3 linked regions of the Notamacropus eugenii genome follow. The protein of the gene in region 3 interacts with the protein of the main gene of each other region in a pairwise test. Links are inferred from orthologs where the notes say so. Each region holds a gene or a part of one and is shown on either strand. Other genes may lie near its edges. The genes, in order: P4HA3, ZMYND10 and NUTM1.

Region 1 (10,634 bases), on a different chromosome or scaffold from region 3:
GCAGCTTTTTTTGTGGTGGCCAAAAACTGGAAATCGAGGGGATGTCCATCAATTGAGCAATGGCTGAACAAGTTGTGTTATGTGATTGTAATGGAATACTATTATTCTATAAGAAATGATGAACAGGAAGACCTCAGGAAAACCTGAAAAGATTTATTTGAACTGATGCTGAATGCAGTGAGCAGAACCAGGAGAACATTGTACACAGTAACAGTCACAGTCTGCTATGACTGATTATGATAGACTTAGCCCTTATCAGCAATGCAAGGATCTAAAACAATTCCAAAGGACTCATGATGGAAAATGCCATCAACATCCAGAGAAAGAACTATGGGGTCTGAATGCAGAGTAAAGCAGACTATTTTCTTTTTTTTGTTTTGTTTTTTCTTTCTCATAGTTTCTCCCATTCATTGTAATTCTTCTATACATGTGGAAATAGCTATATATATTTCTCTATATGTGAAAATATGTTTAATAGAAATGTATATGTTGAGCCTATATCAGATTGCAGGTCATGTTGGGGAGCTAGTGGGGAGGGAAGGGGAGAAAATTTTTAAACTTAGGGGAAGTGAATGTACAAAACTAAAAAGAAATTAACAAAAAAAAGAAAAAAAGAAAGAAATGTGTAAAAGAAGACTATTCAGATTGAAAGCTGAGTCTTTTAATCCCATTTTTAACTGCTACCCATGCCAAGATTAGCAGATGATTCTTTTTAGACTTGGAACATCCATCTTCCTTCTGTGGCTCAAACATAATGCTGTTTTCTAGACCAGGACTTCCCTGCTGATTTGGGCATGCTGGACCACATTCCTTTCTCTAAACCAAGTAATCTCAGCTGATCAAAAAGCTGCTGATGGTGGCGTGATAGGTTTTGGGATGTCCTGGCCATTCCGACCCAATGATTTACTTTCTTCCTCCCCCTCCCCAACCCTATGCTTGCCCAAAGAAGGTCAAAGAAATGACACGGGCACTGTTCCCATTCCCTAAAATATAGACTACATCATGTTCCGAAGAACATAATAACATAAGAACATAATGACTGTCAAAGCCTATTCTAGTTTTTTTCCCCACTATTCAGACCTTCAATACTTAAAGGATTCATGAATTTGTCAGTATAACTCCCTTCACTGATAAAAAGCTCTAGTGTCAAATTCACGTAAAAATGGGGCCACTAATGTGTATATAAGGATCCCAGTGGGTAGCATATGGACTTAGTTTTCAAATGTGATATTATGTTCTATTGTATTTTTCTATTTTGTTAAATATTTCCCTGTTACATTTCAGTCTGTTCCTCTGCTGGTTTTCATGAGCTGCTTTTACTGAAAAAAAGACATTACCCTTTCTGATGATAAAATAACACTGCCGGGGCTATTTTTGAGACCACAATCCACTCAAAGACTTTCCAGATTGATAGTGCCTGCCATTGTTTATGCTCCATTGGCATACCTTTGGAGAGCCCAGGGTCACCTCCATACCACTGCAGAAAGGTTCTTCCAGAGGGGTTCCCTTCCAGTAGCCAACTACTGCTCTGGATCCCATGCTCCATTCAGGGGCCTGAAGGGAATCCATCTAGCCATTTTGCCTTTGCTAACTTTGGTTGGGGGTGGGGTGCGGGTCCCTATGACCTGGAGTGCTCTTAAGACATATGCCTATTATATTTCTGGGACCTAGGGCTAAGTGGGGGAAGGGGAAAGCAAATTTAGGTTTAATTGAAATGGAAATTTGCTCCCAGTAATGGAATGAGCTGGGTTGGGGAGGGTATTTTACAGTGGTCAAGCACAAGCTGATTAGGGGGATTTTTGCATTGAAAACACAAAGGAGTCTAAAGTAATGCTGAGGGTGGGAACCACTGTGTATGTAGATCATTTTAGCTGGAGTGAAATTTTGCAAATTGGGAAGTAGAGAAGGGGCAGTAAAAGGTAAACTTAATTACTGCAATTGATCAGACTTCCTAGATTCCTGCTGCCACCTGGTGGACACAACCACCTATCAATGTCTCAGGCTCAAGATCAGAGGTAGAAAGCATCTTTTAGGAGACAAAGCATTAGCAACTTTAGTATCTCTCTCTCTGTCTGTCGCTCTTTCTTTCTCTGTCTCAGTCTATCTCTGTCTCTGCTCTCTGTGTCTCTGCCTCTGTGTCTTTGTCTCTATGTCTCTGTCTCTCCCCCCCACCCCCCACTCCTCGCCTCTCCATTTTTTAAGTGGAAGAAACAGACCCAGAGAGGGAAAATAATTTGTGAAAGGTCAGGTAGCAGGCCTGTCAAAGACTCCAAGTGTTACGACTTCTCTGGTTCCTTTCAATTTCATCTATCATCCACTGACAAATATATGAGTACTGTATACAATGTTACGGTCACTGAAAACAAATGAAAGGGAAGGATTTCAATCATTTTAAAGAGACCTCCCCAAATGAGGGTAAATTGGTCCCTATCCCTGGGCCTCAGTTTTCCTCTTTTGTTTTTTAAGGTTGAAAGAGATTCATTCAGCATGTGTGCAGAACTTTCTTGTACTCAGCACTGGAGGAAGATGAAGGCAGAGTTGGTTTTTCATCTTTGTCTCTTTCCTGCCTATCACAGGGCTTTGCACATAGTAGACACTGTGTAGCTATTGAGTTAAATTAAAATTGAGGCATTTGTCTTTTCTAAGCCTACATTCCTCATCTGTCCAAATGGGAAATATTTATACTACCTGCCTCTCAGGATCATGCTAGAAGATTTACAAAGTTCCAGAGGGAAGTTCAGAAGACAGGGAGGACAACTCTGAAACTAACATAAATTTACTACATGTGTTCTTTTAAAAATGAAGCTACATGTAATAGAGAATTGTGGCTTCATATACAACCCTTTTTTCTTTTTTATAAATATATGGAAATACTAAAGTTTTATATTTGTCAAGTACAAAAACCAAAAGGAAGTTCAAATTTAAAAATTAACCAAGTTCTTTGGAAATATTATCATCTTTCTTGATAGAATTTAAGAACTTAGGGCAGGAACTACATCTGTTCATCTTATTCTCCCCACTCCCCCCCACCCCAGGCCAAGGTCAGGGCTCTCTACGCAATGTTTCTCAACAAAGGTTTTTTGAATAAATGAAGCACTTTATTACATGGTATCTTTTGGTGTCCTCTGAGTTTGTGGGCAAGTATACCCTGAGACTATGCACAGGTCCCTTTTCCTCTGTAGGTCTGAGTTTCTGTAAAAATTAGGAACTACACAGTGTTAGTGGCAAAACCCAGATGCCCAGGTTTCCGATCTAGGAATGATAACAATGAATAATAACTTCACATCATAAACCATAAAGTGCTATGGAACTGAGGTGGGGGGAGGTCTTACATCATTTAATTTGATCTTTATTTTATCTAAATTTTATCTTTATTTGATCTAAATATTTTTTAAGTTCCTACTATGTGCTAAACACCGTGCTAAGATCTGGGGATACAAAGAAAAAAGTGAAAGTGAAAAAAATTATTGCCTTCAGGGGGCTTCCATTCTACTAGTAGGATTTACCACATCCTCATCTAAGTAAGGTGTGTGTGTGTGTGTGTGTGTGTGTGTGTGTGTGTGTGTGTGTGTGTGTGTGTGTGAGAGAGAGAGAGAGAGAGAGAGATTTGGGGAGATTACTAGGAAAGACCCCTTGTTTAAAGAGGTAGTTCCTGAGCTGAGTCTTAAAGAGAGCTAGTGAGGTATAGTAAAAGTATTGTTCCCATTTTATAAATGAATAAATTGAGGCTCAGGCAAAGTAACTTGCCCAAAGTCAAATAAATAGCTAGTATCAGCTGGGATGGGAACCCAGGGCTTATTCCAAATTCAGTGCTCTTTCCACTATACTCCCTGCCTCTTAGTACTTTTTAGGAGACCAGCTTCATGTCTCCACAGCAGAAGTGGAAGTGCTTAATGGCAGACAAAAGACTTTTATGTCTTGTCTTTTCCCCTACTCAGCACAATATTAACCACAAGGCACAGGCTCAGTAAATAGAAAATTAAATTGCCTCACCTAGAAATAGGTTCCAGGTATCAGTCTTCACTGTTAAACAAAAGACAAATGGTGCAATCTTCAGTGAAACATGGTAGGGCAGTTCTGATACAATACTAGAAAAGTGTCACCATGGGAAACTGAGGAAATAAGAGAAAATTGTCAAGAAGGCCATACATTCCAAATCTCCACCAGGGGGCACTCTTGGCATTAGAAACATAGAACCAGAGTCTTGTCAACCTAAACACTACCCTCTCCAAGAACTTTCTTCCCCACCTATTCCCTGCAAATTTGGTTTATTTTTCTCCAAAATAAGGGCTAGGAGTGCTATCTTCTGGGCAGTAAGATGGCACAGTGGAGAGAGTGCTAGGCCTGGAGTCAGGAAGACTCCTTTTTGTGAGTTCAAATCTGGCCTGTGACACTGGGCAAGTCACTTAACCCTGTTTGCCTCAGTTTCCTCATCTGCAAAATGAACTGGAGAAGAAAGTGGCAAAGCACTCCATTATCTTTGCCAAGAAAATCCTAGGCGGGGTCGGAAAGTTAGAGATGACTGAATCACTTTTCCCCCTGCTGGTCTTTTTGTTTAGAAATGGCAACATGGAACTGTCAAAAGAGTTCTGGATGTGGAATCAGAAGACCTGGGTTGGCATCCAGGTCCTACCACTTGTTCAACATTGAGCAAGTTACTTCTCTCCAGGCATTTTTCTCATCTGTAAAATAACAAGGCTGGATTAGTTGCTTCCTCCAGTTAAATCTCAAGGTTCCTATGACCTTCCCTGACAAACAGGAGTATAAGGTAGATAAGATGAAGTTACTTTAGCGTGGCTCTTGAGTTCTCACTGGAGAAGAAAGAGGAAAAGAAAAAAAAAGTCGGGCAAAATCCTGACTCTAGCAAAGAAGGTATTTTCTAACTAGAAGCTTTCCTCTGAGGAAGTACTTAGGAAAGAAGCCAGAGAATGGCAAGTGCCTTAGGCCAGAAGTCCTAGCCCTGACTATGCTTCTGATTCTTCTGTGTGACTTTAAGAAGATTCCTTCACATCTGCCTCAGTTTCCACCTCTGTAAAAATGAAGGGTTTGGATTTGATGATCTCTAAGGGTCTTTCTAGCTCTGACATTCCATGGTCCTTCACTGTCCTCTCCAGTGAAGACTGAAAAACACTAAATAGGTTAGTTACTAGGACAGGCCGAGAACACCACCAAGAAAGTTCTTTTCGTCCTGTACCTAGGACTTTTTTTTCCTGTAGATGCCAGTCCTCTCTAAGGGAGAAGCTTACTACCAGACAATATACAGGATCACTGTCAGGACTGGAGGGGATCTTGCTGTCATACAGACCCATGCAGACTTGAAGCTGGAAGGGACCTTAGAGGTTATGTAATCCAATCCTCCTATGCCAAAGATGAGGAAACTGGGGCTCAGAATGCCCAAAGTTTCAAAGGTAGTTTGACTCCAAGTTTAACTTTGGCTCTAAACCTAATATTCTTTTCTACTCTCATTTAGATATAATTTCAAGATTTACAGAGTTTACTTTCTTTATAACCTTTTTCAGAAGGCAGGTACTCCAAGTATAACTTGTCCCCATTTTATAGGTAAGGACAGAGAAGCTCCAGATTGTGTGACTGGCTCATGGGCCCGCAGCTAGTCAATGTTAGAACTGGGATTAGAGCCCAGGTCTCTTTCTGACTCCAAATCTAGTGCCTTGCACCACATTGCCTATCATCTGGCATTAGAGAGAGAAAAGGCTGGAATGACTCCTTAAAGAGGATTTAGGATGTTCAGAACTGTAAGGGGCCTCGATGTCAGGCCTGGAAGGAACCTGAAGAGATCGTTTATTCCAACCCCCTTATTTTACCCAGGAGGAAAATGAAGCCGGGGTGGAGGAAAGGATTTGTGCAGGGCTGGACAAAGAGCTGGCTGCAGAGCTGGGATCAGAATTCGGATCTCCTGTCTCCCAGCCAAGGCTCCCTCTGCACTCTGCAATTTCAGAGTTGAGGTTTAAGGAGCAATGGGAAAGGAAGAAAGCCTAATGGGAAAAGGGGGAAGGGGATATAGCCAGGTGGGAGGGTAAAACCAAAGTGATGGGAACTCAAGAGAAAAGAAGGGTGTGGGGTAAAGAGAAGAAAGACAAGAGAAAGAGTTGAAGAACGATAAGGGGGAAAGAGCTGAGGGAAGAGTGGTGTAGGGGAGAGGACGAGAGGGAAAACAGGAAGATAAATGTATATATAAGAAGTGGGGGAGGAAACAGGCAGAAGGGGAAGGGGGGCTGGCGGGGAAGGGGCAGAGCTATATGGTAAGAGGAAGGGAAGGGGGAAGGGAACTAAGGAAGAAAGGAAGAAAGAGAGCAGAGAAAGGGAGAAAGCAGACCGCGAGATGGGGAGGATGAATGTATGAAGTGGTGGAGGTGAAAAAGCAGAGGAAAGAACAAGGGAAAGTGTGAAAGGAGAGGCAGGGGATGTAGAGAGGCTGTAGAAGAGGGAAGGAGGGAGTGGAGCAGAGAAAGGGGAGGAGAGGAGAGGGGAAAGAAAGAGGCAAGGAGCAGAGGAGGAGAGATGTGAGGAGGGAGCCCGGAGAGTGCAGGGGAGCAGAGGGAGGAAAGAGAGCGCTGGGAGGGCAGTGCAGCCCCTGGCGGCATGGGCCCCCCGGCGGCGCTGGTGCTGCTGGTGCTACCGGTGCTGCCCGCCCTGGAGCTGGGGGCTGGGGTTCGGGCCACGGAGGCGGGGGGCGGCCCGCCCCGGGGCCGCGGGGAGGACAAGTTCTCGGCGCTGCAGAGTGTGGAGCGGGCTCTGGGTCCCGAGCGGGAGCTGCTGCGGCTGCTGGAAGGCTACGTGCGGGGTGAGGAGGCCCGTCTGCGGGACCTGCGCAGGTAGGAGCTGCCGGCTGGGGTGAGTGTGTGTGTGTGAGTGTGAGTGTGTGTGTGAGAGTGTGTGTGCGTGTGAGTGTGCATGTGTGTGCGCGCGCGTGTGCGTGTGTGTGTGTGTGTGTGCGCCTGTGTGTGAAAGCGCACGGGATCCTGACCCACCGATCCTGTGGCTACTTAGGACACTCCGTGTGTGACACTGTGTATTTGTGTGAGAGGGAACACTTTGGACACTAACTCACAGCCCCTGTGGCTGCTTAGGACACTCCCAGTGTGTGATACCGACTGAGTGTATCAAATGAGACTGTGTACAGCATTTTGCCACCCTTAAAACACTATAGAAAAACCAACTGTTACTATTCTTGAGCTAGGGGTGTGTATTTTGAGACCCAGGATGTGCCAAGGAACTCTGTGTCACTCCTGAGATACAGCATGTGATATTGTAGAAAGCCTGGTGCTGCGAGGTAGCATGTGTAACATTGTCTCAGTAAAGTGGACTGGGCTCCTGTGTGAGACACAGGACCCTGAGACACTATGGTTTCACACTGTATGAAAGAGAACAAATAGATGAAGGAGAGAAACCCAGATGATGGGCTGTGAGCTCCTGCAGGACTGAGACTCTTAGCCAGCTCTGTATAAAGGAGAGGCAGTGTGGCGTGGTAGATAGAGAACAAGACAGTCAGAAAGACCTGACTTCAAATCCCTCAGGGATTTGCCTGGGTGACCCTGGGTGAATCACTTAACCCATTAGTGCCCCAGGAAATTTTCTAAAATTAAGACACAAAGCAGTTACAGATCTGATCTGCATTGGTATAGTGAATTTCCTTACTGGGAGATCCCTACACTGATGAAATCACAAGTCTAAACCAAAGCCTGAATTAAGACCATGTATTAATTATGTTTGTGTCATCCCTGTGTGCTGGGCATGGTGTATGTATGTGTGAAGGATGGCGTGTTAATATTTACTCTGCATGCCAGTGATACTGAGTATGTGACATTGTATGGATCACACTGAATGAGTCGATGTTGCCCTGTGTGAATGTATAGCACTGTGGGTTATGCAGACTGAGTGGGGCCAGAAAAATCTTAAATGACACAGTGTGATGCTGTAGGGGCAGGGCTGTGACCTTGACACCAGTCCCCAATGACTACTAAGCTCTGTGACTTGGAATGATTGTGTTTTACACCATGGCTGAGAGAGACAGGCACAGACAGACACAGACTGAGACTGTGAGACACATGGGAGGAAGAGTGAGATTCTGTTTGTGATTTGGTGAACAGCTGAACATTGGTATCCAACCAAATATGACTGCACACAAGAAGAATGATGCATTTTTTTGGTCAGTTAGCTAATGTGTATGTGTGAGACATAGTTTATCTACATGTATAAAATATGCATGAGTATGTGCCTTAAAAATAAATGATAATGGTAGTTTTGATGATGATGTAATGGTGGGGGAAATTAAAAAAATTTTTTTCTTCCATATTCCCACAGGCTTTACTTTTATCAATTTCTTCAAAGTAGAATATTTTTCCAGTATTTTGTGGATCCAAGTACAGAAAGAGTCAGAAAACATACTTTAATTCCCAAAGTTAGAGCAGTGGAAAGGAATACTAAGCCTGATCCCATAAGACTAATACTAAACGTGTACTAATACTAAACTAGTCCCACCTCTACCATTGTGTGACCTTGGGCAAGTAAATTACTGCCTCCCTGGGTCTCAGTTTCCCTATCTGTAAAAGGAAGAGGTGGGAATAAATGGTGTCTTAGGTCCCTCCCATCTTGAAATTCTATGGTTAAATGAGATAATGTACGTTAAGCAATCTGCAAACCTTAAAGCACTACATACGTGTGAGTTTATCTTCTGTCTAGTTTGGACATCCTGCATTTTAAGGTTCATCCAATTAGATTGTGAGCACCTGGAGGGAAGGGAGTGTCTTTTGCCTCTTTTTGTATCACTTGCACTTAGAATAATTCCTGGCACATAGTAGGCTCTTAATAAGTGTTTATTGATTGATTAATTGAGCCCAACTCTAATAATCAACATGCTAAGTTCCCTCCCCTACCCCACCCCTATTCTGACATCCTGTGATTCTATGGAGAATCAAAGCTCCTGCATAAATAGGCTATTTTTATCCCAAGTATAGCCTGACCTGCTTGTTCCACACACAGCCTGGCCCACTTCTGCTGTTGCCCAGCTACAAGGTCCCATTGCCACCAGCATCAACTTATACAAACTTTTATTAAGCACCTGCCTTTTGTAAGGCACTCTGTTGGGTGCTGTTGGAGAGAGAGACACACACACAGACAGACAAAGACAGAGACAGAGACACAGACACAGAGAGACAGAGACAGGGAGAGGAATGACATAGTTCCTGCCTTTAAGGATCAGTGTGATGTCTGGGAAAGAGTACTGGATCTGGAATCAGAAGACCTGGGTTCAGACTCTGACCCAGCCCCTTTTGACTTGTCTGACGTTGGGCAAACCATTTAACCATTGTGGCCTTCGCTTCTTCATCTGTAAAAAGAGGGAGTTGGAATAGATGATCCCCAGGGTGACTCTCAACTCTGAATCTCTTTTCTTATGATACAAGTAGGTAGCTCAGATATGGGCACCCAGTAGGAACAGACTGGAGCCAGTTCATACTAGCTTTTGAGAGCACCATTGTTAAATTTTCAGCGTGAGCATTTGCAGTTTGTTGTTCAGTCCTTTCAGTTGTATTCAGCTCTATGATCCCATTTAGGGTTTTCTTGGCAAAGACACTGGAGTGGCTGGCCATTTCCTTCTCTAGCTCGTTTTACAGGTAAAGAACTGGGGCAAACAGGGCTAAATGGCTTGCCCAGAGTTACACAGCTGGATTTGAACTTATGAAGATGAAGCTTCCTGATTCTAAGCCCAGTTCTCTATCCATTACACCACCCGGTTTTACTTTGGAAATTGGCAAATCAGGACTCAGCAGAGTCTAGACCAGGGGTGGGGAAAAATGTTAATATTATATTCTACTGTTAAACTTATAAGTTTCTGTTTTCCTCTCTCCCCAGGAGCTAATTATTAAACATTTACCAGCACATCCATGGACATACATAACTACAGTACAAATAAGAGTTTAGTAAGTAGTAGCACAAAATACACAGAAAGTACATATTTGCTTCTAAATCCCCTAGATTGTAAACTCCTTGATAGCAGGACCTGCCATATCTATTCTTGAGTCTGTTAGTCAACAAACATTTGTTAAGTGCTGACTATCATGCCAGACACTGCTAAGCAAACAGACAGTGCTTATAAGAGGTCCACACTTGCTGCTTTCACCAGCTCATCACCCACTCACAGAATCATATACCGGCTGAAAGGGAAGGAACCTCAGAGGCCAGTTCTAGTCCACCCCAAACATGAAAAAGAATCACCAGTGTACTTTAGAAGTGGGTCTCCAGTTGTCACTACTTCCTGAGGCAGCCCACCCCACTTTTGTATAGCTCCAGTCATTGGGAAGATTTTCCTTAAATCTAACTGGTATCTGTCTCTTAGCAACTTGAACTCATTATTCGTGGCTCTGGTTCTGGAGTCAAACAATGAGCCTATTCCCTCTTTCCTGTAGATGTCACACCCTAAATCTTTTTTCTAGGCTAAACATCCTCAGTTGTTTCATTCAGTCCCCAGATGACATGGTCTTGAGGACCCTCATCCATACTGGTTAACCTCTGCACATGCTCCAGTTTGCAGTATCCTTCCTAGAAAGGAACTCTCAGCCTGAACACAAGACTCTAGCTGAAGGACCCAGCAGGATTGTCCTGTATGCTGTCCCTGC
Region 2 (11,294 bases), on a different chromosome or scaffold from region 3:
CCAAGATGCACCGCGCTGGCGCCGGCCCAGGAAAGCCTAACGTCGAAGGCAGGGCACAGTGGGAAGAGTAGTTCTCTAGCCACAGGTGGGTTACTCGACCAGAGTTCTAGGCAATCGAGAAGCATTGTGGGAATTGTAGTTAGCCCCCTCACCCCGCGACCACAGGCCCACCACGCGCCGCAGACTTCAGTGGGGCAACCCGTAACCATTCTGGAATCCCCTCAGCTCACCTGCCAATCGGCCCACTGCCTTCCAGCTTCTAACAGGAAGTGCCGGGAAACAGCTATTGTACCGCCTACGCGAAAGGGACTCCCTTCACTTCCGGGTGAGACTTCCTCCCGTCCGGAACTAGGCCAACAAGAGTCCCTGGATCCCTCCACTTAGGACGCAGTGCGCAGGCTCCCGGTCTTCTGGGAAGTGGGTGGGGCGAGGGAAGGCTCGTCCGCTGGCTTGCTACTGCGCAGGCGCTCGCGGGAGCCGGCTCCGTGTTTGCACTCACTCAGGTACGGTTTTGGCTGGGGTCGGGCCCGTGGGAGGTGCCAACCCCGCGTGGTCCCGGGAGGCTCCTGAAGCCGGGGGGGCTCGGGTCGGCAGGGCCAGCATCCGCCCCCCGGACGTGGGGAAACTGAGGCCAGCGTCGCGTCTTTCCCTCTGTAGCGCCTCCGGGGGCCGGGCTGGGGCTCCGTGCCCCGGCCCTGGGGGTCTCTGCGGGGTCTCCGCACCCCAGCCCGCCGCCATGGGGAGCAGCAGCAGGATCGAGTGCATCTTCTTCAGCGAATTCCACCCCACGCTGGGCCCCAAAATCACCTACCAGGTAGGCGCGGGGCGGGGCGGGGCGGGGCCGGGCGGAGGGCGGGGCCAGGCCGCCGCCCCCCACGAGCCACCAGGGGCTGCCCCTCCAGGTCCCCGAAGACTTCATCTCCCGGGAGCTGTTTGACACCGTGCAGGTGTACGTCATCACCAAGCCGGAGCTGCAGAACAAGCTGATCACTGTGTAAGCCCCGGGATGGGCCGGGGTCCGCCAGGGAGACTTGGAGGGGTCTGCCCCCCGCCTTCCACCCCCCTCGGGACAAGCCCGGGACTAGACAGCCTGCCATCACCTTCTCTCCACTACGCCCACCCCCCTCCTCACCACCGGACTCGCCACCTCCAGCCTCTTTCCTCCCCGTAGCGAGTTTATATTTATAAACCACAGATCTGATCGCATCCCTCTCCAGGGCTTCCCTCCAGGCATCTAAAGTTAAATAGAAATGTATATGTACGTCTGTGGCATTTACGGTCCTTCACGAGCTTCCTTCAGCCAGTATTTTCATATCCAGTTCACATCACTGGCCCTCATGCACTCTCTTCTAGCCAAAAAACTAGCTTGTTCGGCTTCTATCTAAAGGTGATGCTCCATCTCCTGTCTGTGTCTGCTCTACCCTGGGCTCCCTTCATAATTCAGTTGAAGGCCATGTCCTACAAGAGGCCTTTCACCATTTCCCCTGTTGCTTGTGCTGGCCAAATGCCTTGGTGTTTATTTTTCATTCATGTGGCACTTACTTATACATACACATTTCCCCTAGTAGAATATAAGCTCTTTGGAGGCATGACTGTTGGAGTTTTTTAACAGTGTCTTTATATCCACAGTGTCTGACACATAGTAGGTGTTTGATGTTTATTGAATAGAAAAATGCTTTTTGGAAGAAAAATTTGGGACAGAGATCACTTTTAACAGACTGGGGAGGAATCAAGGATGGTTTCACAGAAGAAGTATCACCTGATCTGGACCTTGAGTGGAACGTTGAGAGTGTGTACATTCCTTGACACAGGCAAAATCAGACTAGGAAACAGCCCAGCTTGTCTGGAGCAGAAAATATATAAAGGGAAATGATGTGAAATGAAGCGGAAGCATGGGTTGCACCCAGATTCTTGAATGCCAAGCAAAAGGAAGTTATATTTTATCCTTTCGGGAAGAGGATTTTGAGGAAAAGAGTGGTTTGATCAAAGCTAAGCTCTCGAGTAGTCACTCTGGCAGACTGCAGGATTGGTTAGATGGGGAGACTTAAAGTCCGAGAGACAGTTAGAAATACCATAATCACCTTGGCAGAAACTAAGCAGGGTCCGGACCAAGGTATTGCCAGGAGAGGCAAATGAGAAATATCACAGGGGCCCTGAACCACAAACCTAGTGAGGTCTTCTGAGGCCCAGCTCCTCTCCTATTCTGTAAGAGGTTTTCCAGAAGGGAGAGGGGTGACCTGAGAGAGGCACCTCCCACCCCTCTGTGCTGACTCTGCTTCCTGCTTAGGACAGCCATGGAGAAGAAGCTGATTGGCTGCCCCGTGTGCATTGAGCACAAGAAGTACAGTCGAAATGCACTGCTCTTCAATCTGGGCTTCGTGTGTGATGCCCGAGCCAAAACCTGCGCCCTGGAGCCCATAGTTAAGAAGTTGGCTGGCTACCTCACCACACTGGAGGTCAGGACCTGCCCCACCTAGCCCCTGGTATGCCCAGCTCCTTGGGGGCCCAAGCCCCAGTGCACTGAACCATGGTCCTGGTTCTCCTAGGGTAACTCAGCTTGGGTGGTAGAGAGAGGCACAAAGTCCTACTCCATACTCATTGAGTTGAAAGAGACTCAAAGACCACTGTTTCCTAGACACAAAACTGATGCCCAGGCAGGGAAAAGACTTAGGCTCCTGTGAACATGAATTTAAAGCTAGAAGGGAACAGAGATCATTTAGTGCAACCCTCTTTCCCCAAGCTCCAAGACATTCAGTGATTTGCCCAAAGCCAAACAACTAAAATGTGTCAGAGGCAGATTGGAGTTTTTTAAACCATACCAATCATGAGTGAAATGGGGCACCAAGGAATCTGCCTTCCCTGCTTGCTGTTTACCTTGATGGGCCTCATGGCAGCTCCCCTTTTCCATCACATTTTCCCTTGTAGCTGGAGAGCAGTTTTGTGTCCACAGAGGAGAGCAAACAGAAGCTAGTGCCCATCATGACCATCCTCCTGGAGGAGCTCAATGCCACAGGCAGATGCACCCTGCCCATAGGTAAGACCCCTGCATCCAGTCCAGCCTCCAGAGAAGGGCTGCTTGCACACTCTTGCCCAAATAAAAACAGAATTCAAAACTGTCCACACAGAGTCCCAAAAGATATGTGAAAAGATTTCGGCAGATCCATGAACTTTAATGAGAAGTAAAAGACATTTACCATTTCCTCCGATTATTTAAAAACGTGACTCTGAGAAGGGGTCTGTAGGCTTCCCCAGACTGCCACGGGGAACTCCACCTTATAGGCACAAAGCTTTGTGAAGGGAGAAGAGGGTGTGCCTCACCGTGAGGAGTATGACACCCAAAGGACAGGTCCTAAGTTAGGTCACAGACTGAAGTAAGTAGAGAAAGCCAGAAAAGAAAGGAGCTCCAAAATCTGGGGCCCAGACAGTGAACTTGGTGAGGATGGGCTGAGGGAAGGGCCCCCAGAGGCCTTGGTTCTGATGCTAGTTCTGCAGAGAACTCCATGTTTGCTCTCTACCAAGTGATTGTACCTTTGGAGTCATCAGCTTCCCTGTGCAGTGGGGTTTTTCATCCCTAGCTTTTCTACCGTGTCTGGGGAGAGAATGGGGGAAGATTCTCCCAGGATCCTAGACATTAGAGGTCATCCAGCCTTCTTCTGACCCCATCCCCATTATTTTGTAGAGGAAGAAGCAGGCAAAACCCAAATCTTATCGAGCCCTGGTTTCACCACCTAAGAAACAGGACTGGACTTTTCTGTGGCCACACAGCAAGTTAGTGATAGAGTATCAGTATGAACCTAGATCTCTGCCTCCTGGGCCATCATTCTTTCTACTGCACCATACTTTGGCATACAGAAGTGCTTTGAAAAGTATAAGCCTTTAGCAATCATGTGTGTGCAGCCTCGTATCCTTCTGGAAGGCTTCCTGGAATTCCTGTCATCTTCCTCTACAGATGAATCTAATACCATCCACCTGAAGGTCATTGAGCAGCGGCCTGATCCCCCCATAGCCCAGGAGTATGACGTACCTGTTTTTACCAAGGACAAGGATGAGTTCTTCAACTCCCAGTGGGATCTCACCACGCAGCAAGTATGGCCACCTGCTCAGGGTGCCTCTGGTCAGCCAAGCTTCTCTCTCAATCCTTCTGGGCAGTGGGGTACACAAATTGAACTCAGTGATGACATGACCACCTTCTCTAGATCCTGCCCTATATCGATGGCTTTCGACACATCCAGAAAATTTCTGCTGAGGCTGATGTGGAGCTCAATCTTGTGAGGATTGCCATTCAGAACCTGTTGTGAGTGAGCCAAGGACCAAGAGATGGATGGGGGAAAGAAAGGCACTAAGACCTGGGCACTACCAGTATCTGCCCTCCCCACCTCTCCCATTTACTAGATCTTCCCCCCTCTGTTGAGACCCCACAGATGTTATCACCCAGTTGAGAATACCTTAGCTAGGGGGTGGTGCTCATTGAGGTGTGTCTCCTGCAGGTACTATGGGGTGGTGACCCTGGTATCCATCCTCCAGGTAAGAAGGGGAACAGAGGGAGGAACGTTGTGTTTGGGAATGGAAGAGGATTTCCACTTCAGAGCATGACCTGAAATCAAGATGATAGTGCCCACTAAAAGCATAAGAAGAATGGGAAATGGAATTCCCAGTGGGAGTGGGGAATGGCCTGTGTGCATGGCTAGAGCAGACACAGAACTGGTTGTATGGCTGGAGAAACTGAGGCCCAGAAGGGAAAGGCCTTGTTTGAAGGGACACAGCCAGTATTCGGCAAAACTGAGGATTAGAACTCAGCTTTCCTAGTTTGGGTTTTTTTTTCAATGATGCAAATTTATTGGCTCCTTAAGACCATCCAATCTAACGTATTAATTTTTACTAATGGACAGTGGGGCCCAAAAAGCATGAGATTTGTCTAAGGTCACATAGCCATTCAGTAGCTGACTCATAGTTGGGAGCCAGTGGGTACCTTAGGCCTCACTCCATCTTTCCCTCTCCAGTATTCCAATGTGTACTGCCCCACACCCAAGGTTCAGGACCTGGTGGATGATAAGGCACTACAAGAGGAATGTCTGGCCTACGTCACCAAGCAAGGTATGGGAAGATGGGGAAGGATGAGGGCAAAGACACAGCTTCCAGGGCAACTGATTCCCTTACAGCAGCGTCTCTGGACAAACCTAAAGAAGCCACAGCCGGTAACAGTCCAGAAATTCCTAAAGCATTTTGACGTTCAAAAATCACTTAGCTCACAAACTTCTCTATAAGCAGTAGTATTCCCATTTTATGGATAAGGAAAGTGAGGCACAGAGTTTCAAGTGACTTGCCTGTGGTCATACAACTAAGAAGTGTTGGCACCAGTATTCAAATCCTGGTCTCTCCAAATTCTACTATGCAAAGGTGCCTTTACCAGAATGATAGAGAAGAAATGCTAATTCCATGCCCTCCCAACTGCCCCTCAAACTGCCCTGAGGCCCAGAATGATAGTGAGGAGCCCCAGGTACAGGGGCCACCAGCTTGCTATCTCCATCTCCATTCACAGGTCACAAGCGAGCCAGCCTCCGAGATGTCTTCCAGCTCTACTGTGGCCTCAGCCCAGGCACCACTGTCCGGGACCTCATCGGCCGCTATACCCAACAGCTACAGCACGTGGATGAAAGGTCAGTGAGGGTGCTGCCCTGACCTCAGAGCTGGGAGTGGGGACCAGAGATAGTAGTGGGTTCCCCCACCCCAAGGCTCCAAGCCTAGGGGCCTCTATTGGCCAGAGGAACACATGGGAGAGGGGTGCCTCACTTGTTTAGGGAAGGCCCCTTTCACAACAGCCCTGGCAGGAAGGCATTTGACCATCAGGGCATGAAAACTTGGAGCAGAGCTGGTGGTATTTATCCAGCATTGGTCCTGGCTGATAGCCAGCGCAGGCTTTATAACAGTGGAAGAAACTGAGGCTCTGAAGAGGGGACTGCCCAGCACACCTTCCACTCCACCCTGGGGCCTCACCTGCAGGGCTGCTGATTTCCAAATCTAACTCTTTCACACCTTTCCTGCTCTGGGCCTCAGTTTCCCCCACGTTCAGCCCTCTCAGAGGTCACCTGCCTCGGAGTCAGTGGTGCTGACCCTTAGTAGTTTCCTGGGGAGGTGACCCTGGCCCCCGGCCCTCCCACCCCCCACCAGGAAGCTGATCCAGTTCGGGCTGATGAAAAACCTGATGCGGCGCCTACAGAAATACCCGGTGCGCATCACTGCGGAGGAGCGCAGCCACCCGGCCCGCCTCTACACGGGGTGCCACAGCTACGACGAGATCTGCTGCAAGACGGGTGGGAGGAGGGGCCCGGGAGGCTGCAGAGGGAGGCCCTGGGGTGGGAGGGGGGACCCGGGGGACTGCAGGGGGGACCCGGGCTGGGAGGGGGGGCCCGGGAGGCTGAAGAGGGAGGCCCTGGGGTGGGAGGGGGGACCCGGGGGACTGCAGGGGGGGGCCCGGGAGGCTGCAGAGGGAGGCCCTGGGGTGGGAGGGGGGACCCGGGGGACTGCAGGGGGGGCCGGGGGGCTTCAGGGGGGGCCCGGAGGACTGAAGGGGGGGCCGGGGCAGCTGCAGGGGGGGCTCTGCCAGTGAGCCGCTGCCCCCCACACATCCTCCTAGGAATGAGCTACCGCGAGCTGGACGAGCGCCTGGACAACGACCCCAACATCATCGTCTGCTGGAAGTGAGGCCCCCTGCACCTGCGGGGCCACGGGAGCCCCCCGCCTGCACCTGCGGGGCTGGGGGGCGGCCGGGGCCAGGGCAATAAAGAGTCTTGTCAGCCCTCCTGCTCCGTCTCCTGCCTTTCCCCGCGCCGTCCACCAGAGGGCGCCGGCGCCCTGACGCTGGAGCGTCGCCTTCGTTTCCTTGGCGACGGCGACGCCAGGGTTTCTAACGGCCTTCCTAGTACCGAGCGCCCGCGAGCGAGCGCTGCCCGCAGGACGTCTGAATGCGGATCCCGCCCCAGGCCGAGGATGGGGGACTTGAAAGTGCTGCTGCCTGGAGAGGCCGAGGCCCTGGTGCAGGCCCTGCAGAGCTTCCCGCTGTGGGAGATGGGCTCCCAGGGGTGAGGGCGGGGGCGCCCCGGGAGGGGCGGGGGCAGAGGGGGCTCTGATCCCCACTGGAGAAGATGTGCGGGGCTTGTGACCCCGCGCTCCCGGCGCAGTCAGGGTGGAGGGTCCTGGGGCAGGGAGGGCTGGGCTGGGCTGGGGGAGGAGACACCAAGGCCAGCCTGCCCACAAGCCCCCCCACTGGGGCTCCACACTGCCGCCCGGCCAGGTGGTGTCGGCAGCATGAACAGGTGGAGAAGCTGAATATGCAGGCCATACTGGATGCCACCTCCTCCAGCCAGGGAGAGCCCATCCAGGAGCTGCTGGTCACCTACAGCAAGGTACGATAGCCCACGGGGTGCTGGAGGTGCTGAGAGGGCCGCAGACCCAACCCCCACCCTGACCACAGGACAAGGTCTTTGAGTAACTCACTTCCCTTCCCGAAGGCAGGCGTCTGCTTCCTTCCCTGTTGGAGGGCTCAGGGCAAAGTAGACGGGCTGGCCTCCCTAGGAGGGTGGCAACCTGTGTGACAGAGCCCCTAAGCCAGACTCTCTGTGTCTGACACCTAAATTCCACCAGTGGCCCTTTGATCCATGGAGGTAAATGTTAATGTGAGAGGGGTGTTCTTAGCCCCTTCAGATCAGGTGTGGGTGTGTGCCTGCAGCATACATATATATATAGACATAGATAAGACATCTAACACATACATCATGTATCCGATGACCCAAAGGGGAGCTCAGGCCCCTAGCCCACTGCCTCTGAAAGTGCTTCTCTTTCCTCTGTTCACTCCCCCCACCTCAAAGGGGACTCTTTCCCCTTTCCATCAACAAAATGAATTAGTAAGAATTACTTTAGTTCTACCTGCTGCGCCCAGCTCCATGTTTCCTACTGAAGGGAAATTCATTAGTCTGAGATTCCTTTTGATCTAAACCCTATGAGCCAATAAACTCTCATCCAGATCTCTATGAAACTGTGGACTAAAAGGGCTAGGTTCTAGCTCTGTCCTGAAACAAGGAAGGGAATAAGCATTTATTAAGCACCTACTTGTGTGCCAGGCACTGTACTAAGAAATGGCTAACACCTAGTCTCTGACCTCAAGGAGTTGACAGTCCTATGTCAGAGGGGGAATAGAAGAGAAATAACAAAAATGTTTAATGACAAGAGAAGATTTCAGTAAGCATCTGAGATAACAGGGTTGTACGGTTGTATGCGTGAGTGTACGATGAGACACACTTAAGTGTTTGTAAGGATTCTGACAAGGGAGAAAAAACTTGGAATCAAGAGACCTGGGTACAAATACCTGCTCCCAGCTACAGCTGGCTGTGGGACAACAGACTTCCCATTCCTTATCTATAAACTTACTTTCCTGGGCTGTTAGAAGGTAAGTGCTTTCTAAAACTTAAAGTGTGAAGGAAATGGGCAGAATGAGGTAAGCTAGTCAGGGAGATCAGGCTCCAATTTTAAAGAATAACAAGGTGGATTAGGGATTGGCCTCCTGGCCCCATGTGGCCTTCCAGGTCCTTGGGTGGAGCCTTTTCATGAAGTCCCAGTTTTACACAACAAATCCTTTTATGAAGGGAATTTGTTCTGTGAAGTTTGGATTTGGTCAAAGGGCCACCCTTGAGGTCCTAAAGGGCCACATGGGGCCTTGAGGCTGAAGGTTCCCCACACCTGGATTAGATCCTTGAAAAACTAAACCTCACTGAAGAAACTATGGGTTTCCTTCTTAATCATCAAGCATTTGTTAAGCACCTGCTGTGTGACCAAAACAGCCCTTGCCCTTAATGAGCTTGAATTCTACTGGAGTGAAACAACCTGTACAAAGAAATGGGCCCTGAAGGACAAAGTTCCTCTGTTGTGTGCACAGGCTCCCAGATGAGATAGGGACTATATGGCCAAGGGATCAGTGTGGTTGGAACAGAGAGGATGTGACAGGGAGTCATTTCTAATCAATCCAGAAAGCTAAGCAGCAGCATTTTATCTCTTCTGTCTGTCCTTGCTCTGCACAGCTAGGTTTCCCACAGAGTTGTACATTTGTCTACTCTACTCCCCCAAGGTTGACTCTGCCCTTGGAAAAGCTTACCAGGTGCTACCAAGAGAAACTCCCGTCTGAAAATAAAAGCACTTAACAAAATGTTCAACCACACTAACATTCAGAGATGCAAATTGGTTTAACTTGGAGGAACCACCTCACATCCATCAAACTCCCAAAAATAAAAACAACTAAACTCGATACTGGTGGGCTTCTGGGGAGAAAGGTATGCCCATTTGTCACTGGTGGAAATGCAAACTTAGAGCATCTCTTTGGAGGGCAACCTAGTCATACCCATTGACCCATCCGTATCATGAAGAAACCCAGAAAGTGTTATCAAAAACAACAGCGCTCTTTGTAATTGCAAAAAATGGGGGGGGGGAGGGCGGGGGCGCAGCAATCTGAATGTTAAATGACTAAATAAATTGTGGTACATGAATGTACTAGAATACTATAGTTCAAAAGACCAAGGAACATAAAGAACTGGAAAGGACCTTTATGAAATTCTGTAAAGCCCAAAAAAAAGCAGAACCAAGAATGAGCCAAAACAAATCCTGGTGGAGATGGAGGAAATGGCTGAAAAACCATGACATTTCATAGACTGAAATTAATTCAAATAATCATTACCAAGCAAATATACTTAAATTGATATCCAACATTAAATTTATAAATTAGAGGAGCGGCTATGTAAATTGCAGGACATTAATATAATGGCATACTCTAATGCAGTTAACAACGGCAATTATGAGGAATACCAGGAAATCTGGAAAGTTGAAAAATTCTGAACCAGAAGAATGGAATGATGACTAAGTCTGATTTGAAGATAGATGGACAAAGGGCTATCCTGGAGCTTGGGAATGACTGGAAAGTTGTCAGAGCACTAAAAAAATCAATCCCTAATGGATTAGGAATCCCGAGTCATCAGAGGTTACCCTGGATCACGTTTTGTCTGAGCCCTTGATTTGCACACTTCTCTCTCCAATTTTCCCTTGTGACTAACTCCTAGAATTAAGACCCCCGAACCCTAAATGCGCTCCAGTTCTGTCTTCTGGAGTGAGGAGCTGGGATGGAAAAGGGAAAATGAGAGAATGATGTGGAAGAAAACCACTAGCTACATTTTGGGATGCAAGCCTGCTGGAGACAAATTGTATTATTGTAATCTTAAGCATTTTTTTAAAGAAACTCCAAAGGGACAGAAACCTGTCCTGCCTTGGAAAATCTCCCCCCACCCGTTTTGAGTTAAAATTTATAGTTCTCCTAAACAAAGACAAAATTCCCCAATAAAAGCTAACTCATGGTCACAGCATTCAGGTAACACGACGACAGTGTTAGCCAATTTTCCTAGGACTGTTTAATCCCTCTCCAACTCTGGCTCCCAGGATTCTTTCTGCCCAGTCAGAGGTGAGCCCAAGAAATACTTCTGTCAAAGCCTTCTTCCTTTTCTAAGTTTAATCACTCTCCGAATCCAGTGGGGGATCCTGCCCTAGTTCTTTCCAGGTTTAGTTTTACACATATGTTAGGCCTTTGAAAAATAGATTTTAAAGGATTTCAAACTAATATTGATTAGACTTTCTTCTTAGGTGGGACCAAGGACTTCAGACTAAAGTGTCCTTAGCACAGAACCTGGGATGTAGTAGACACAGTAAATGCTTGTAACTTGTCATCTTGGGGCATTTTATAATACAGAGTGTCCCAAAGGTCTTAGTGCAGTAACTAGCTTAAAACCGCACTCAAATAAACTAGCAGTTTATTTTAATAACTAACATAACTAAAACTTCGATTTAGCGATTTCAGCACAGTTTTAAGCTAGTAAAACTGCACTAAGACTTTTGGGACAGGCTGTATATAGTCTAAAGAAGAAATGGGAAGAGGAGGAGGAGCTTTGTTGTGTTCGAAGTATAGGAAGTTCCTAGAGTCAACATCCTTGGCTACAGTGGCCACAAATGTAAAAATGGAACTAGGATGTTGATGAGCAGACCCCCAGCCAGGAAAAGGCCTGAAGTCAGCGTTTCAGCTGTCTAGAGAATGTTTAGACTGAGCCTTGGTTTCCTCCACTTTAAAATGGAGAAAATATAATACCTGTCTCCCAGAGTTCTGGTGAAGGCCAAGTGAGATGGCGTGTGTCAGCATACTTTTCAAACCTTAAGATGCAGTACTTTGCTCTTTCAGTTAATATTTCCATAAGGATAGTGTGAACAAG
Region 3 (10,357 bases):
GTAGATGAATACTATTAGACTTGTTACCTGCAGAATTAGTCATGAATTCCCTGTCCTTGCACATGCCACGTGTTCCTTTATATATGTGCCTCTCCATTTTAGAACTCTATGGACATCTACTCTTCCTGTTTAAGATTTATGAAATTGAATGCTCTAGGTTTATGAGATAAATTGCTACTGTCCTTATTGTGTCATTTCATTTCCTCTGATTGACTACAAGTAAGCACACTTTTTTTTTTTTTTGAGTTTTGAGTTGTAGTTTCAAAAGGAGCAGACTCATGGAGTACTTTGAATAGGTGGTTATTTCCAGAGAAACCAAACTGTGATTGCAAGTTGGGGAGATAGTCTAGGGAGAGAGCCATACATATAGTGTATATTTATGTGTACACATATATACAAATTCATTTCCATTAGGGTTTTTTTCCTTTTTGAAAAAACGTAGCTGAACGTAGTTGCCTCCTCCCAACTCTGCAGATGTCATAATCTAAAAGTATACTGCTACTCTATATAAGTGAATACTTTGGGGAAAAGCCTTGAGTATCTATACAAAAGTCCCCACGAAAAAATATAGGATAGCATTATTCCTGGGTTTTTTTTGTATGAGGAAAATAAAGTCAAGCATGTTGATCACAGCAAAGTCTCCAACTAGAAAACTGAGAACTCACTGCTTGCAGGTTAAATTATAAAAGTCCCCAACTCAAGTCATCATCCCTAATGTCACTACCTATTCTGATCCACTTCAGCAACTTGCCTTCTCATCTTCAAAGACTGAAGGGTAGTTTGCCTGTTCCTAAAGCTTCTTGGCAGAGCTGGTCAGGAAGTGAGATCCAAGAGGGGATTTTCTATCCTTTTGCAATAGAATTTATGAGACAGTCAGTTTAAAACAGGTTTGAGGTCTGAATTTTTGATTCAGGGAAAAAAATATATGTTTATATAATTTACTAATTAATATATAAAATATTATGATTTATAAAACTACATAAAATTATGTATTTATATAAAATTGGAACAATCCTCTTATACTTTTTCTTCACAAAGCAATTTTCTCATCAGTGGCAGATTCATTTTGGACCAACACAAACACGCAAGCTGTATCTCTTTAACTTAAAGTTGAAAGGAAACTGAAAGATTATTCTAACACCTGCAACTACATGCATGGATTCCAGCTCCTTAAGGGTACGAAATATTTCTCATTTTTGTCTCTGCAGCCCAGTGTCTAGGGTTTTCTTCTTTTGGAAAAGTTGTTCTCCAGGATAGGAACTACTTCTACCACTTGGTAGAAAGGATAAAGCCTAATTCCTCAGGACTTAATAACGTAGGTTTTTAAGAGCTGGAAGGGACTTTAGAGATCATGGAGTCCAACTTTTTCATCCTACAATTGAGTAAACTAGGGTTGAGACACATTAAGTAACTTGCTCCAGATCACATAGCCAGTGTCAGTCAGGTTATACTGGCTTTTGAGCATGCTTCCCATCATATTGCCTTTACCCCCTCCTCCTTTTTATCCCTAATGCTTAGCACAGTGCCTAGCATATACAAGGAGCCTAATATGTGCTTACTGATTTCCTGAGCAGTTTGGGTCTTTCAGATGGTATGTGACCAGATACCATTGGAGACCTGATAAACATCACCTCAGTACATTCAGCCTAATTTTATTGTGCTGGCATATCCATCATCTTAATATTTGAAGGTTACCAATGAGTTCTAAGTACCTCCTCCCTCATGCCCACTAGTACTATCAACACTTGTTTCTTCACTTATTAGCCGCCCATTGCTCCCTATAGGAATCTATCTCATCAGCACTCTTACCTGAATTATTTCTTCCCTTCCTAGTTCTCACTTCAGAGATCTAATTCAAACATCAATCATGTTTTAGTTGTTGTTCAGTGTTTCAGTCACATTCAACCCCTTGTGACCCCATATAGCATTCCTATACTACCCATGGAGTTTTCTTGGCAAAGATACTGGAGTGGTTTGACATGTCTTTATCTAGCGGATTAAGACAGATTAAGTGACTTGCCCAGGGGTTACACAGCTAGGAAGTGTCTGAAGCTGTATTTGAATTCAAATCTTCCTGATTCTAGGCACAGGACTCTATCCACTGAGCTACCTAGTAACCTCCTATTGTTCAGTAAGTATTAGTCATCACTCTCACCTACATACACTTTCAAGGTTGGGTACTTTTTGAGGAACTGGGAGATTAACAAAGGGTTGGCAGGAGGCAAAACCATTCAATTCAAGAATTTGGATAAATAAGGATAGTCAAAAAACTTGTGTCTTCATATTTTCTGTTGGGGAGTGACTCAAATATTCTTCACTAAGTGCAGAAAAGCAACAAGGTTATCCTTTTGTCTATAAGACGTAAATGCGAAGACACAGTCTGCAAGACTAGGTCAACTTGTTAACCTCATCGTCTTCCTCAAAAGAACCATCTAATGCTTTGACTGTGACAGTGGGTTGTCTTGAGGTCTACAAACAGTGAGAGGAAGATCTCCTGGTTTAATAAAAAAGACTTTAGACCATACCCCATCAGAAAAACAGACAAAGAATTAGGTTTTTCAAAGTATGACTCTACTGCTCCTGGAGGTTTCCTTGTACTCCCTGTGCTTAAGTTTTCTTTAGGTTAACACCTCCCAAAAGACATTTGCACTTGTGGGTTTCCCTACATGCAAAGGGAGAGAGGGAAATAAAGTCAAGAATTTTGGGGTTCTACCACAAAGCCCTAAGGTAAATCTTTGTTGTTTACCGTCAGACATGGATTGATCAGAATATTAAAACTTAATTTTTTAATCTTTCTACTTGTTCAACCCTCAACCTGAAAACATTTGTCACAATGTGTGGCTATTCTCTTAAATTGATCTGAGCTTCAGAGGATTCTTTGGTTAAAATTAATCTGTTCAGAAATTAGGAGAAACTGTGAGACTCCAGAGAATAATAGCCCACACATGCCTGGTGCCTTAAGGTGTACAAAAGGTTTTCCTTAGGACAAAGATAACCTCTTTGGTCACTCAGTCCATTCAGAAGACATCTCTCATGGGCACTGCTGTGTGTGCTATGTTGAATATCAGTGTCACTATAGAGGGGAAGGAATTCAAGACTATCCACAGGACTTAAGAATTTAGAGATAAAAGAAACTAGACCATCTAGTCCAATTTGATTAATTTTTACTGAAGAAAATGAGGACTTTTGAATTCCAATGCAAACATGCTAGTATTCTAAAACAATAATAAAAATGGATATTATTTTTTGATCAGAAAAGGGAATAAGCATTTCTATAGCTACTTCATGCCAGGTGCTGTGTTAAATACCTTTTTACAAATATATTCAGATCATCCTGACTCCAGACCTAGTACTCTATCCACTAAGCCACCTGGCTTCCTCTGATCAATTCAAAGACTTTTCTGCCCCCAATTAAAAAGGAAAAATAGATCTCTAAACCATTTCAGTTTTAATAGCCTACAACATTGATTAAAAAGATATGGCAACTTTAGACTTTCATTTTAGCTTGATTGCTACCAAGTACAGAGAGGAACACAGGCAAACTGCAGCTAGATTCTAAGAAGCAAGTGTACAAAGGGCGTCATTTTAAACTTGTGACAATGGGTTAAGAGAGTCAAAGATGTAAGCTCTTCCTGAATGAGGTCTCCTAGATGTAGGACAAGCTTCTTGTGCCAGAGTCCTGGGTGGTTTGGTAATTCAGAGGACCAATCGTGCTTGCTGGGTCATGAGAACCTTGAATCTCTTCTTGATGGTGATACGGTGTCTGGAGTACTTGTCATCTGGGGAGAATCTGGCTGGGTGCGCTGAACAGGTCTGTTGTCCTGCAGGGTCTGTTTTCTGTTAGGAGAACAAAGAGAACCGAATGTGAATTCTCACATCCAACACTGCCACCAGTCTAGTACAGGCCCCTATTACAGCTATGAAGTGATTTTCCTAAAGTACAGGTTTGATCACATCACCCACCTACTCAAACTTCAGTGTAGCCCTATTGCCTCCAGTATCAAATACAAAACGCATTTTTGGCATTCAAAACTCTTTATAACCTAGCCACTACCTATCATTCCAGTCTTCTTATACCTTACTCCCCCCACCACATATTCTTTGATCCAGTGATACTGACCTCCAGGCTATTTGACAAACTTGGCACTCTTATCTCTTGGCTCCAGGAATTTTCTCTGGTATGCCCCATGGGTGGAACACTACCTACTGAAGTCCCAACTGAAATTCTACTTTCTACAGAAAATCTTCCTCAGCCCCTCTTACTTGCAGTGCCTTCCTCCTTGTTATCTCCTATTTATCCTGTACATAGCTTGCCATATATATATATATACACACATTATAAATATACACACACACACATATATTTGTCTACGTTGTCTCCCTCACCACATCGTAAGCTCTTTGAGGGTACAGCTTACTCTATCCCCAGTGTTTAGCACAGTAGGTTTACTGATTATTTTGGAGCAGAACCAGAGAAAAGGTCGAAAAGACTCGGACAGGCAGGGAGGACGAAGCTGTTTATTTCTCCTCATCCATCCCCTCGCCCCAGCCCCAGCATTACCCTGACCAACAGACCAGACCTGGGCTAAGGACGATTAGGTCCCTAGGCTGTGGGTGCCGAGGGTATGCAGGGACAACCTTTTCCTTCCTTCTGTTTCCCACAGCCTTGTGCATAGTAGGTCTTCATGAAGTCTGCTGACTGTGAGGTGAGATACTCAGACGACAAGGTCTGGGATACACGCTGAATTCCGCGGGATTTAGGGCTGGGCGTGGGGAGCGAGCTCCTTCCAAGCGCAAACCCCACCCAACAGCCCCGAGTCCCCCGGCAGCGCCCCCCGGAATCACCACGGGGGGTCCCCGCTGGAGGGGGGGGGCTCTTCTTTTTACACTCTATGCCGGCGCCAAGCACAGGGTCCGGGCACAACGAAGGCTGCCCGCCTCGGCCTCCGTCCTCCTCCTCTTCTCCCTACACGACCCTCTCGGTACAAGGCAGTGACCCGGGCCGGCCGCTCCCCTCCCTCGGCCTCGGCTCCTTCTTCGTTAAAACAATAACGAGGCCCGACGGAGCCGCCGGTAAGAGCGTCTACACAGGCCGCTGCCCAGCTCGGCCGCGCAGGGCGGGAACGGAGCTCCCTCCTGCGTCTCCACCCCCCAAGTGCGCCTCCTCTCCGTACCTTTAGGGTGTAGACCCGATCCCCTTGCTCGTTGAGGTAATACTGCAGAAACATGGCGGCCAATTCCCTTCGCGAGGCGGGCAGGCCACGGGAAGACTCGGCCACAAGCAGGCTTCCACCTCCGCCTTGGCCCGGGAGCGCGGACCCACCCCCCGACCACGTGTTTGTTCCAGGGACACTTCCGGGAAGTAGAGCCCCCGCGGCATGCTGGGAGGTGTAGTCCCCTCCTCTTCTCCTCCTGCCCTCCTGAAGGGGGAGTCCTCGCCCTGGGATTGCACTAGGGAGCGCATCCCTATGCTGGAAGTTGGGAAGGGAGTGGGCTTCGAATGCCAGGGGAGGCCATTAGCCACAGCCCATTCAGGGATGGAGAGGCCGCTGTTTTTGAACCCAGAACTTGAATATCCCTCCCCTGCATGCAAACTGCAATAAGTAGTCCCATGGAAGAAAAGTAGCGCCCAGAGCCTTAGAGGGGCGAGGAAATCCAGGCGCCGAGGGTGCCCAGGCCGCGGCCAGGCCCTGCCCTCCATCTTGTGCGGCTGAGAACATGGAGGCGCAGGCCAGCTCAGGCCCTGGCTCCCCTTCGCCCAGGGGGTAAGTAGAGGCACGAGGGCCGGGGCGCCCAGGCCTGCGCCGCACCCTCCGGGGGTGCAGAGGCGGCCCGGCCAGGTGCACGGGGAGGGGCGCTGCGCTCGGAGGTGGGAGATGGGGACCTGCACCGCCCACTCACCTGGGAGCCGCGGGGGGGACGAGGCTGGAAGGTGCCCCTCCGCCCCCACCACGCACGTGGAGAGCTGGCGAGGACCCGCCCAGCCTCGTGGCCCAGACGTGGAACTGGGGCCGGCCACGTTGAGTGGCTTGCCCATTCAGGGTCGTCGCCTGAGTTGGGTTCTGAATTCAGATCCTCCCCGCCGAGCTCTCCTCCCCCTCTTCCCTAGAACATTCCTCGGCCCCCTGGCCTGGCCCTCACTCTTCCCTCCCTTCCCCCACTGCGTAGAATGCACGGGTTTCCAGGTTCCAGTTCTGTTTTGATTCAATCTTTTCCCTTCTGCTGCCCTCAATTCTTGGGCAGCTACTGTGACCAGGTGGCCTTCTGGGCCCTGGCCCTGACCCTTGTGCCATCCTGGAGGCTGCTAGGCAGCCCCGATTAGTGCCCAAGCCAGAGGGTCCAGTCCCAGATGGAGGTGAGCGGAGCTGGGGGCCTCTCACAAAGATCCGTGCCCCCTATCCCCTCGAGCCCCAGGGAAAGAAATTTGGGACTGTAGCCCTGGGGATCACCTTTGTGACCTGCACTGTGGGACCCAAGAGGAAGACAGACCAATGAATCCATCCCATGCTCAGGCAACAGACCCGGGGAGGTTGGGGAACCAGTTTGGAGCCTTGGGGTTCACAGAGCCAGCCTCTTCAGAGCTGATTTGGGATGCCTTGGAGGAACTGAGCCAGGGAGCTCTGAGTTGAGAGAGAAGACCCACTAGCAGATTGACTTAAATAGGCAAGAAGCCTCCAGTCACTAGGCATTAGCCACCTTAAAGAAGGACAAAAGGACTTAGTAGAATTAGGTCTAACACTTACGTCCTTCTTTCTGGCAGAGACCCTGTTTTCCCAAGTTTTTGCTTTAGAAATTGATATTTCAGCAGGGATATATTCAATCAGAGAGGACAGAGGGAATTGGATGGAAAAGACTTTTGACAGAAATTTGGCCAGAGTGGTCCTCTTTTGCAGAGGCATGCCCTGAACCTACCAAGAGACTAGGAGGCTTGGGGAGAACCTCAAAACAATACCCCCTCCCCCCTTTCCCCATAGATTAATATAGAATACAATAACTGCCCTAGGGTTGAATACCTCAGTTTCCTTGACACCTAGAAACCTCTGTTTTTGTTTGCCCAGGGAACTTCTGGAACTTGTTTCTTGCATTTATCAGGGGCTGAAGGTTGGGGAGTATTGGGGAGGTGGTTAATACATAGTTATTCAACCACAGCTGGAACATAGGCAGTACTGATTTACTCTGAGTTGTTTCATCTATCCTAGGATCCTAGGCCCTCTAACCCATTTCATCTTGTTCCCTCCCTCTTTCTGTTATGGCTAGCATGTCCTGACCCTTCCCTGCTTGTCATCAGAGTGATGAGCTTGTCTACCATCATCCATGACTCCATGATCTTATTTTATGGTCAGGGAGGTAAACTGTGTGTGAGTTTCACGTCGTTTGTGGGATAAGGTGGATTGTTAAATTCTTGTTATTATTAAATGGAGGCATCTCCTTAGAAGGCATCTTATGTATTATATGTGGTGTTATATTTTCTTGTATTCCCAGTGCCTTGTGCCTCGGAAGTGCTCAATAATTACTTGTTAATTTGAAAGCCCTTGTCCTTTCCATTACTGAAGGAATAACCTAGGTAAACGATAGAGAGAATCAGAATCAGTGTTAGGAGCAACTGCCACACTTCACGGGGTCTATCTGCTAGCTCTCTGAAGCGTAAGAAAACCTGTCATTTTTATCCACCTAGTCTACTACTACCTCCTTTTGACTAGTTTTTACTCCTCTGGAGTGGAGAATCTCTAGGAATCTGTATGGGCTTCCCCTCCTTACCTTAAGAAGATTCTAGAAGGAAGATTATTAAGTGGCTAGAGATGGCTGGGAGTAGGGGGAATGTCTCTGATTTTACTTCTATAAGCAGAAATGAATGAGTTGTTAATTGGAATGAGAGTTTTAGGGATAAATTGGTTATGGCTATAGAACTTTTTTTATTGTACTTTTAGATGAGAAGAGGAATAGGGGACTTAAAAAAAGGAGCAAGGAGATGAAAAAGGGGAGGAATGAAGAAACAGGGCCAGGAACCTCTCTCAATTGATCTCTAATTTAGGAACACCAAAGGAGCCTAGGGAAGGGCCAGATTCTAGATTCTCCCATCAGATGCTCAACCTCCTAGTTGGGGACATACTTTGAGTTGTTATCTCCTGCATGTCAACCCTGTTCTATGTCTTGGGACACCACACAGTGGAGGTAGACTTCTAAGAATATCCTTAAAGAAGTTGTCAGTGATATTGTAGACATTTTTTTTTATTGGACTGGTAAAGATGTTTACCCTATGAATTAGGGGACCAGCTCTGCAATGTATCAGGGTCCAAAGGGTCCCCAGATGTTGAGGCCTCTAGCTGCCTCATTTCCTGCTCCAATCCCTCCTTTTTCTCAACAGCTCCTTCATTGTCTGGACCTGAAATGACCCCGAAGCCTGGCCCTGTCCCACCCTGTACTTCACTTCCATTACCCCCACCCCCTCCAGGACCATCAGACAAGCCTCTCTGGGAGCCACCACCTCAAACTCCCATTTCTTCACCATTCCCACCGGGTAGCCCCCTGGTTCTGTCTGCTTTCCCTAGTACATTGCTGGTGACAGGGGATGGGGGAGCAGGCCCTAGCGGGGGTGGGGCTGGTAAGGTCATCGTCAAAGTCAAGACAGAGGGGGGCCCATCTGAAGCCCCCCGAACTCAGACCTTTATCCTCACTCAGACTGCCCTCAATTGGATTGCCCCAGGTCCTCCCCGTGGGGGCCCTGAAGGCCCCACTCCCCGGTTCCTGGCAGCCACCAATGTCAAGACCATTCTTCTTGCTAAGGCTGTTGGGGTGGCCCAGGCTGGTGAAGGAGAGGGACCCCCTACCCATCCTCCCCTGGCCCCACCACCCACCGCCCAACTAGCTCCAATTATACCCCCAGAAAAGGCTTGGCGGGGGCCAGATGGGACTCCTGGGGAGGGAGGTCCACCTCCACCTTGTCCCAAACCCTCTCTGGGTGACCTTTCCTGCACCTCCAAGGGTGTTTATGAGAACTTTCGTCGCTGGCAACGCTACAAGGCACTGGCCCGGAGACACCTGCCCCGGAGCCCTGATGCAGAAGCGCTTTCCTGCTTCCTCATGTGAGTGCTTGCTTTTGGAGTTACGCTTGTAGACTCCTTCAGACTTTTTATTCTTGGAAGGAAGAGTCAGGAGAAGCCTGATGGATTATAGACTAAAGTTGTTTGGAAATATCCGATGGTAGGTCAGGGGCCACAGTGCAACTTCCCAGAAAAAAGATAGTTCCTTCACATTCATTTGTAGGCAGAGCAGTTAAAATGGGTCAGCAGGACAGGGATATTCCTAAGGGGATGAGGGTCTGTAAACAAAAAACACTTTGTGCCTTTAGCTTCTATTTATACTGTGTGATCAAGTTTAAATAACCATCAAGGGCAGCCTTGAAAGGGAAAAAAGGTCGCAAGAGGGTGGCATACATTCTAGGAGATATATAGATATACATCTATATATATATTTTATCCTCACAACAAGCCTGTGAGGTAGGTGCTGTTATCATCCCTATTTCCCACTTGAAAAAACTGAGGCAAATAGAGGCTAAGTGACTTGTCCAGGGTCACATATCTGAGGCAGGATTTGAATTCAGGTCTTCCTGATTCCAGGCCAGAGCAATAACTATTTCTCTATCCAGCTGCAAAATTTATCGAAAGTAATGTTGGTGGGTACTAGCAGCTAGAAGAAATCAGGAAAGACTTCATTTGGAAAGGGAGCTAAGGATTTTAAGAGAGAAAGTTAAGGAGGGTATGCGTTCCAGGCATGAGAAATGCCCTCTGCAAAGGCATAGATGTAGGAGTACCAACAGACTTGGGCTGCTGAGTCTTCTTCATTTTGCTGACAAAAAAGTGGGTTGAACAGACCAGAAGCATCTAGAAGGTTCCTGTCCCTTCCAAAAAAATGTGCTTGATACATATTCCTTAATTTATGCTTCATTTGTGTTAACAAGCTTTTGCTTAAGATTCAAATGCTCTTGTCAGAATTAGGCTTATCAGTGAGTCATGCCTTATTATGAGTTATCTTAATTATATAATTAGGTTATTCAAGCGTAGCGACGGATAGTGTGCTAGACCTGGAATCAGGAAGTCCTGAGTTCAGTTCCTTCCTCAGAGCAATTACTAGCCCTGTGACCCTGGTCAAGTCACTTAACCTCTGCCTGTCTCAGTTTCCTCATCTGTAAAATGGGGATAATAATAGCATCTATTTCCCAGACATTGTGAAGTCAATGAAGTAATATTTGTAAAGTGTCATCATCCTCATCCTCATCCTCATCACTCCCAACATCCCTAAGATCATCACATTAAGGAAATGGGAGTTTTGAATGGGGAAGGTGTCGGGATGGGAGAGG

The links.
Region 1: the proteins of NUTM1 (region 3) and P4HA3 interact in binary tests that used the Homo sapiens proteins (3 or more experiments, as listed by UniProt). The two-hybrid records come from large-scale screens. The link is inferred for Notamacropus eugenii from reciprocal best matches to the Homo sapiens genes NUTM1 and P4HA3.
Region 2: the proteins of NUTM1 (region 3) and ZMYND10 interact in binary tests that used the Homo sapiens proteins (3 or more experiments, as listed by UniProt). The two-hybrid records come from large-scale screens. The link is inferred for Notamacropus eugenii from reciprocal best matches to the Homo sapiens genes NUTM1 and ZMYND10.

What each region holds. Positions count from the first base shown.
Region 1 is NC_092876.1:130,971,684-130,982,317, forward strand, and holds the start of P4HA3 (prolyl 4-hydroxylase subunit alpha-3), read left to right. Parts: upstream 1-6,272; 5' UTR 6,273-6,600; coding exon 6,601-6,833; intron 6,834-10,634. UniProt on the Homo sapiens protein: Catalyzes the post-translational formation of 4-hydroxyproline in -Xaa-Pro-Gly- sequences in collagens and other proteins.
Region 2 is NC_092872.1:4,967,190-4,978,483, forward strand, and holds the start of ZMYND10 (zinc finger MYND domain-containing protein 10), read left to right. Parts: upstream 1-6,830; 5' UTR 6,831-6,987; coding exon 6,988-7,079; intron 7,080-7,291; coding exon 7,292-7,403; intron 7,404-11,294. Other genes in the region: GATOR1 complex protein NPRL2, read left to right, coding at 737-814, 903-994, 2,288-2,456, 2,926-3,034, 3,950-4,086, 4,197-4,294, 4,488-4,524, 5,001-5,094 and 3 more. UniProt on the Homo sapiens protein: Plays a role in axonemal structure organization and motility. Involved in axonemal pre-assembly of inner and outer dynein arms (IDA and ODA, respectively) for proper axoneme building for cilia motility.
Region 3 is NC_092878.1:17,206,550-17,216,906, reverse strand, and holds the start of NUTM1 (NUT family member 1), read left to right. Parts: upstream 1-5,653; 5' UTR 5,654-5,765; intron 5,766-5,985; exon of another isoform or gene 5,986-6,355; intron 6,356-8,365; 5' UTR 8,366-8,388; coding exon 8,389-9,083; intron 9,084-10,357. Other genes in the region: NOP10 (H/ACA ribonucleoprotein complex subunit 3), read right to left, coding at 3,697-3,837, 5,175-5,228. UniProt on the Homo sapiens protein: Plays a role in the regulation of proliferation. Regulates TERT expression by modulating SP1 binding to TERT promoter binding sites.